Schizosaccharomyces pombe: one gene and its partner. The gene in region 1 interacts genetically with each later gene. Each region holds a gene or a part of one and is shown in the gene's direction. Other genes may lie near its edges.

Evidence for each region. A genetic interaction does not mean that the proteins touch.
Region 2: of pim1 (region 1) and rna1, extra expression of one is lethal in a mutant of the other (dosage lethality), as found in Schizosaccharomyces pombe (one study listed by BioGRID).

The regions. Positions count from the first base shown.
Region 1 is NC_003423.3:2,488,516-2,492,957, reverse strand, and holds pim1 (RCC1 family Ran GEF), read left to right. Parts: upstream 1-1,922; 5' UTR 1,923-1,987; exon of another isoform or gene 1,988-2,117; 5' UTR 2,118-2,129; coding exon 2,130-2,735; exon of another isoform or gene 2,736-2,910; coding exon 2,911-3,924; 3' UTR 3,925-3,939; downstream 3,940-4,442. Other genes in the region: Ark1/Prk1 family protein kinase Ppk29, read right to left, coding at 1-565, 605-738, 811-910; SPOM_SPBC557.02C (uncharacterized protein), read left to right, coding at 4,022-4,442.
Region 2 is NC_003424.3:5,029,789-5,033,761, forward strand, and holds rna1 (RanGAP Rna1), read left to right. Parts: upstream 1-1,982; 5' UTR 1,983-1,995; coding exon 1,996-3,156; 3' UTR 3,157-3,473; downstream 3,474-3,973. Other genes in the region: alpha-1,2-galactosyltransferase Gmh3, read right to left, coding at 1-210; RNA polymerase I upstream activation factor complex subunit Rrn10, read left to right, coding at 3,690-3,815, 3,868-3,973.

The DNA.
Region 1 (4,442 bases):
ATGGGGGGAAGGAATATGAAGCTGTTAATATAGCGTTAGGACCTTGTGTTTCAAAAGGAGTTGTATAGTAACAGAGTTTGTATAACAAGACTCCTAAAGCCCACATGTCACTTTTCTCATCAATTCCTAAGCCTGAATACAAATTAATCATCTCAGGGGCACGATATTGGTAGGTAGTAAATGTGTTGATACTTTTTTCTAATGCTTGAATTTCGCTAGAGTTTTCAGCAGCATGCATTGGCTCAGTCACACTTCCAAAATCGCACAATTTAAAAGTATTAAAGCTTAGCAAAACATTTTCTACTTTCAGATCGCGATGAATGAGAGGAGGTCTCAGATAGTGTAAGGAAGCAACACCCTGTACAATATCTGAAATAATTTTTAAGACTTCATGCTCTGACAACCGAGTTTGTAACCTTTGATTCATAAAATCTATCAATCCACCCCCAGCGCAGTATTCCATCAAAAGCAGGATTTCAAATCCAGTGTTGACACCCGCTTTCTCGAGAGGAAATATGCAGGAGTCGATATACGAAACCACGTGGGGATTGGATTTGAGTAGTTCCTAATAAGTTAGACAAAAAAATCAATAACGTTAACATACCATCGTTTCGATTTCAGTTTTCACGAAACGCAGGGCATTCTCGTCTGGAGAATACATGCGTTTCAAAACAGCAGTTATCGGTGATCCATCAGTTTTGGAATTTGTTTGAACAAGATATACATGAGAAAAGCCGCCTAATGAAAAATGTTAGTAAAATAAATCTTTCATTGTAATACTCCTCGATCCATCCAACCCAAAAATTATACCTTCGGCTATGTACTTTTCGATAGTAACATTGTATTTTCCAATTACAAACTTGGATCCTGCTAGAAGCTTTTCGCCCGTGAGAAAGGATGCAACAGACATCCTAGAGAGGTTTTTTGTTCAATACTGGCTGAAGTCGCGAGGTTATTGTTTACACTCTCGCAATTCAATGGGACAGCATCCGAAGCCCTATCTACGTTAGTTGTAAATTTATTATAATAACTTACTCTTTGAAAAGGCTGTATTTACACAGTTTTGATCAAGATGAGCAAGGGATGCCAATTCTGCTGTTGGCAAGGTACTGAGCCAGTCACCAAACACCACAAGTCCCTTCTATAGGGTTAACCTTTGAGCCATTACCGATAGATAAAACCGCCCCCCACAAGACAACTTGCCGTATTTTGAAAATTTCAACTACAACTTTTAATAATTTGAGCTGATTAAGAAGAGAAATTAATTTTACAGTATACTCAAGTTCACAGGCAAACTTGTAGAATCAAGTTGAGTAACATCGTTACCCAAATTTATGACATGGCAAATTCACAGACATATAAATCCAGAAAAGAATAAAGAAAACAGAAACTGCTAACGACTATGTTCATTGTAACTAAATATTAAATCATGAGGGAAAAAAGTATATGGTCCTCATAAAAATAATTTATGAAGAGATTAAAATCGCGTTGCTTGAGTTCGTATTCTCGCATACGATCTTGCTGAACGATGGACACTCCGAGTCTTACTGTAACTTCTTATGACTAATGAGCTTTTTTTTTAAATTTGATCTTTGTTTAGCTATACATGAAACCGCTTTCTCAGATAAGAAGAGGTCTCAAATTTTCAACATTCGACGTGATTAAACGAATTTATATAAATCAAATGAAGTTAAAAAAAAAGAAAGGATTTCATAAAAATTCGTAGCTCACCTTACACACATTTGAACAAATACAAGCTGGGAACTTTTACTGAAGTCAATAACTTATTTTGCTAAACGAAGCTTATGTTGTAATTAACGAATGCTTAATTACAAGCTGCACATAACAACGATTCGCAGTATACTGAATAGTGAGAATCCGTATACAGAACGACTTGTTCGAGTTTTGAAAACAACGTCTCTGCGAAAACAAAAACGACATAAATCGTTGTTTTTTGTCTTTTGTAATATTTTAAACCCAAGCTATAGTAAGTGGTACCAAAAAGTAAATGTAATTCTTGGATTTGCGTCTGGTGATGGTTGCATGGAATACGCGATGACATCTTGTTCTTTTTTAAATTACAAATCGATTGTTAGTAGCAAAGCTAACCCTTCCAGCTAAAACTCATAATGACTTCTAATAGAAGTACTAGAAGCTCAACTAAAAGAGAGGAGGTCTCAAAAAATGGGGTTGAAAAAAGAGAATTAGATGAATCAGATGTGATGAAAAATGGCAAAAAGCCGGTTAAACGTGCAAAGGTCAGCTCTCTACCCAAACCCGTTCGTGTCCCAGGAAGCGCAAAGCGAATTAATAAGATACCTGAACTACCTACGGAACGATTGAACGTTTACGTCTTTGGAAGCGGTTCCATGAACGAGCTAGGTATGGGCGAAGAAGAAATGGATGTCGTTTATCGTCCTCGTTTGAATCCTATTTTATCTACAGATAAAGTAGGAGTAGTCGATTTGGCTGTTGGCGGCATGCATTCTGCAGCCCTTTCTCATGACGGTCGCGTATACACCTGGGGAGTTAATGATGACTATGCCCTTGGTCGTCTTACTAAGGATCAAAAGGATGAGAATGGAGACAAAGTTGACAATGATTTACTAGAGGGAACTCCTTCTAAGGTCGAAGGTGCTTTATCTCATCTACGCGTTACAAAAGTTATATGTAGCGACAATCTCACTGCAGCAATAACGGACAATGGCTGCTGCTTTACTTGGGGTACTTTCCGTGTAAGTAATTTGTTTTGGCCGTGAAAAATTATCATTTGATCTTTGATTCCAAATTCAGGTGCTGTTATCGTTGCAGTGTTGTTTATAGTCTATTGACTCATTGTATCATTTCCCTTCGCCCTTTTGGAACAAATGGCTTTATAAATTTATCATTTTTCGTTTGCTAACATACTAGTGTTCCGATGGTGTATTAGGGTATAGCGATTCTCAAAAACGTACAGCTGAACCGACGCAGATGCGACTTCCCGAAATTTGTCAATTAGCTACAGGGACGGACCATATTATTGCCTTGACTACCACAGGAAAAGTATATACATGGGGTAATGGTCAACAGTTTCAACTGGGTAGACGTATGTTAGAACGTCGTCGACTTCAAGGCTTGACTCCTCAACCGTTAGCTTTAAAAAATATTATTTCAGTTGGAGCAGGATCGTATCATTCTTTTGCGATTGACAACAAAGGACGCGTTTATGCTTGGGGCTTAAATATAACCAGACAATGTGGAATAGAGGTAGAAGATGAAGAAGAAGGCGCCGTTATTACAAAGCCTACACTCGTTGATGCTTTAGAAGGATATAATGTTAAGTCTATTACAGGTGGTGAACATCATACCCTAGCCTTACTTGAAGATGGGAGAGTGTTAGCCTGGGGTCGAGATGATCGTCATCAATTAGGAATTCCGGATAATGCACTTCCAGAAACAGTAGTTAAAGATGAAAAGGGAAACAATTACTACTTGTCAACCCCTACTATAATCCCAGGACTTACTAATGTTATACAGGTCGTGTGTGGTACCCATCACAACTTGGCTGTTACCTCAGATGGTAAGGTTTATTCATGGGGATCTGCTGAAAACTACGAGGTTGGTCAAGGTGATAATGATGAAGATGTAGCTGTTCCTACATTAGTTCGTTCCAAGGCAATCAAGGAAGTGGCGATCCGTGTAGCGGGTGCAGGTGGTCAATTTTCCATCATTGCTGGTATTCCCAACGCTTCCGAAGAGCCAGTTGCAAATGGCATAAAAAGCGAACCCGAAAATGAAAAAAAATTAAAAACCGAAGAAACTTCCAAAACGGATGACTCTCCCGTTACTGATGCAAAGCCCGATGTCACCTCTAACGGCGAACCATCTACCGCTACATCTGAATCTAAGGATTCTGTTCTCGAACCCAGCTCCACCACTGCTTAGTACTTAATTTCTCAATTTCTTTTAACTATTTTTGGGCTAGATAAATTATTTTGAATATCAATGTGTTTGATGCATACAAAATTCATGAGTTTTCCAAATGGATAAAAAAATCGCAGATTTGCTTCAAGAGCTTCAAAGCTCCTCCAACGTAACGAGTAATCAGCTTGAAAATGTAGACAAATCATCCATCCCTCTATCGAAGGCTCGGAAACCCTCTGATTTTGAGTTGAACAATTCTATAGAGGACGCAGAAAAAATTAAAACCTATCCCGCTGCCTTGAGGTACATCTTTGCCCTAAATTCCCGCCATCCCGAAAAGTTACAAAAATTAAGAAAGATGAAGGCTATGCAGGAACGTCAAGAGCGCAACTGGTCTCTGGAACGGCAGCGGCTAGTTCAACATTTTGAGTCGAAAACTAAGCTTCAAGAAATACTGAAACCGCTTTCCTCCGACCCTAAATTGAAACAACCGTCCAATTGTCTTAATGACCAGACCAACAATGATTCCGCTCAAACTT
Region 2 (3,973 bases), on another chromosome or scaffold:
CGTCGTGCTAAGGCCTTGCATATCTTCATCCAGAGGTACTAAGTAGTCGTATTCTTGTACACTTGGTTTGGAAAATACATCTTGTAAACGTTCTAAAGCAGGTGAAGCAGAAAAAGAGTTTCCAAATTGGAAGTAAATGAGAAAAGAGCTAATCCCAATGATTAACAACACGAATATAACACGAGATAACTTCCACTGTAGGACTGCCATTTTAAAGATTAGCAGATGTTAAATGCAAATTAATAAAAAAATAAAAAATAAAATTTAGTCTTTTAGAGACAAGAGAAACTCTTTTTCAAGTTTCACAAATATAAACTGAGATTGGATAAAAGCAAAACAATAAGATACCAAGAATGGATCAGAAATTATGAATGAAATGGGAAACTTTCTACTCTTTCTCGGTAGAAAATTAGAAAGCCGTTTTAAAAATTAAAATGAGATTTGTGATATTCCAAAGAATACTACGTTTGAAACACGAATCTTCGCCCGTTGACTCAAGAAACGAGAGAAAACAGTAAAAAGAAATTGAAAATATAATGTAAATTATAATAAAAAAATATGAATGAATTAGATTCTTTAAAAAATGATTAACCAGATGGACCTGGAATTAAAGGCAGTGTGTAGTGGAAGGATTGAAATTACCGCATCATGGAGTCAATCATCATAAATTTACGGTTTCCTCTACTTATCGTATCCTATTTATAATAAAAGAAGAAAAAGAAGAAAAATCTGTATGGTAATGATTTATGTTCAAAATAATGAGTTGTTCCTTTAAAATCACGTTTCCAAACTTTTAATGACATGATTCACAGTACTTAAACATTTTAACCAGTTTTATACGTTGGGACAAATAACAGGAATGGCTTAATTCAGCAATACGTCTAAATCAATGTCATGATTGAATGGGAAAATAATCAAACGATTCAAATTGTTGAAACAGGTAAAGCAGATCAAGTACTGGAATGCGGACTGAAGTCCAATTCGAGAATGGTTACAACTATGAAATGAGAATTAATTTACTGAAAAGAATACAGTATCAATGGAATAGCTTTCCTGATAATGTGAAAGCTGTTTAAAGAGTATTCTATGTGTCTAGAGTGCAGACTCGTGGATTTTCACAGTAATGAATAAGAAATGTTAAACTAAAAATATCAATTGTTGTTATTATCTTGATTTTTCATATATCTGTTAAACTCCCGCTTTCCGATTTTCTTTTTGGGTCAACTCATAAATGTATATGTGTGAGTAACTGAAATGATCACGAAACAAGCGGAAAGCTGAAAGATAGGGATACTCATTTCAGATCTTTTTGATTCTTCATTTTTTGGAAGTCACCAAGCTCTTTTGGTCAATATTCCTTCGTTCAACTTCGTATTCTTATAAATGGACTAGCGATGAGGCAAAAATCTAGCAATGTTAATTGCTAGAAATGCAATTAAGTTAAAGCAAACTTAAGCTAAGAATTCAGGACTAAGGTCACTCAAAAAGGTTCTTCATAAGATCCTCTATACTTAGTCAAAAAAACAAACTATATGCAACAGGATTGTCACAGCTATTTTTTCAAAAATGAATGATAGATAAATGTCAAAAAAGCTCAATCATCCTATTTACAAAAGTTTTATACATGTCTTTCAGGAACGTATCCGAGCACTAATGCACCACTCCGACATTGAGTATCTTTCGGTTTGCGCTAATCTGATCTAATAATTTAAATGACTTCTAATAGCATAGAATCGTCTTAAAATTAAACTCATTAGCGAGAGATCGCATTTGAGTTTGTAAATAAAAACAGGTTGAGTAAAGGGGGTATCCGTCAAAAGAGGATAAATTTCGTTCTTCTTCTACTTTGAATATTATTTTAGTTTCTTTTTTAAAAGCCATGAATTCAAGTGACTGAAGCATCTATCCTCGATCAAATTTAACATACACAGCTAGTTCACACAATCTTTCCTCACCACCATACCTGCTATATTTTTTCTTTCAACAACCAACTCCATGTCGCGTTTTTCAATAGAAGGGAAGTCTTTGAAATTAGATGCAATTACAACTGAAGACGAGAAGTCTGTATTTGCTGTTCTGTTAGAAGATGATTCTGTAAAGGAAATTGTATTGTCTGGTAACACAATTGGAACCGAAGCTGCTAGATGGTTGTCAGAGAATATTGCCTCAAAAAAAGATTTAGAAATTGCAGAGTTTAGTGATATCTTTACTGGACGTGTCAAAGATGAAATTCCTGAGGCTTTACGTCTGTTGCTACAAGCTTTACTCAAGTGCCCAAAACTACATACTGTAAGATTGAGCGATAATGCCTTTGGCCCTACTGCACAGGAGCCCTTGATTGACTTTCTTTCAAAACACACACCTTTGGAGCATCTTTACCTACACAATAATGGACTCGGTCCTCAAGCTGGCGCAAAAATTGCTCGTGCCTTGCAAGAGCTGGCGGTCAACAAGAAAGCTAAAAATGCACCTCCCTTGCGTTCCATTATTTGTGGAAGAAATCGTTTAGAAAATGGGAGTATGAAAGAATGGGCTAAAACTTTCCAGAGCCACCGTTTGCTACATACAGTGAAAATGGTGCAAAATGGTATCCGTCCCGAAGGTATTGAACACTTATTGCTTGAAGGATTAGCATATTGCCAAGAGCTAAAGGTACTCGATCTTCAAGATAACACATTTACGCACTTGGGCTCTAGCGCTCTCGCTATCGCGTTGAAAAGCTGGCCCAACCTTCGAGAACTAGGCCTCAACGATTGTCTCTTATCTGCTCGCGGTGCTGCCGCAGTTGTAGATGCTTTTTCTAAATTAGAAAATATTGGGCTTCAAACGTTACGCTTACAGTATAACGAGATAGAGCTGGATGCTGTCCGGACCCTAAAAACTGTGATTGATGAGAAAATGCCGGATCTTTTATTCCTTGAATTAAATGGAAACAGATTTTCGGAAGAAGACGATGTTGTTGATGAAATACGTGAAGTCTTTAGCACCCGTGGTCGTGGTGAACTAGATGAGCTTGATGATATGGAGGAACTTACCGACGAGGAGGAGGAGGATGAAGAAGAAGAAGCTGAGTCTCAAAGCCCTGAGCCGGAGACTTCTGAAGAAGAAAAAGAAGACAAAGAACTTGCTGATGAGCTATCAAAAGCTCATATTTAGAGCAACTACTTTCCCTCTCGAACCCTGCTCCGCTGTTTCCGAAATTTTTTAACATATTTCTATTGTTCATGCTAGGCGGTAATGAACGATTGTGGTCAACGGATGGTCTATATCGACCATTCGATTTCCTTCTGCATTTTTATCAACATTCTGTCTTTTTACGCGGCAGGACCGATAAATAGTATTAGATTAAATCTGTATATGACAGAAAAAAAATTCCCCTTTCAAAAATGGCGAAAAGGTTCTTTACGTTTTATTAATAACCCACTTTAATTAAGTATTGGGTCAATATAATATGGTTTGGATTGTATCTGTGTAAAGTTGTTTTGTTGTTATGTCGTAAAGCCTGAACTATTTTTTCAGTATGTCTGTAAACCTCGAGATAAATTTTCTGTAAGTCGCAGTTAACTTTTAAGAATGTGGGGATTCCATTACTTGAGCTTGGTGTTTCCAAATATGATTGTACTACTGCAAGGACGAATTAGAAGCTTCACCTAGCATAGTACATACTCTACGTCCAACGCCATCTATTAATGTCAAATCCACCAACTCGGCCAACTTTGTATAATTTGGTGAATGCTGATGGTGAATTGTCTTACAGAGCTCGTGATTTAGTACAGGATTTTTCTGTTCCAATTCCACATGAACTGCCGGATCCTGTAAGTTCACAGCTTCTGCCAATACTTGTTTAACTAATCTTTTTATGTTTAGGATTTAGTTCATAGCATCCAGGATTTTGCAACAGAATACATGCTTGCGACAGGGAAAAAGTCATTCGAGTGTTTGGATGAAAGTGCTTTATTGGGGTTGGGATATT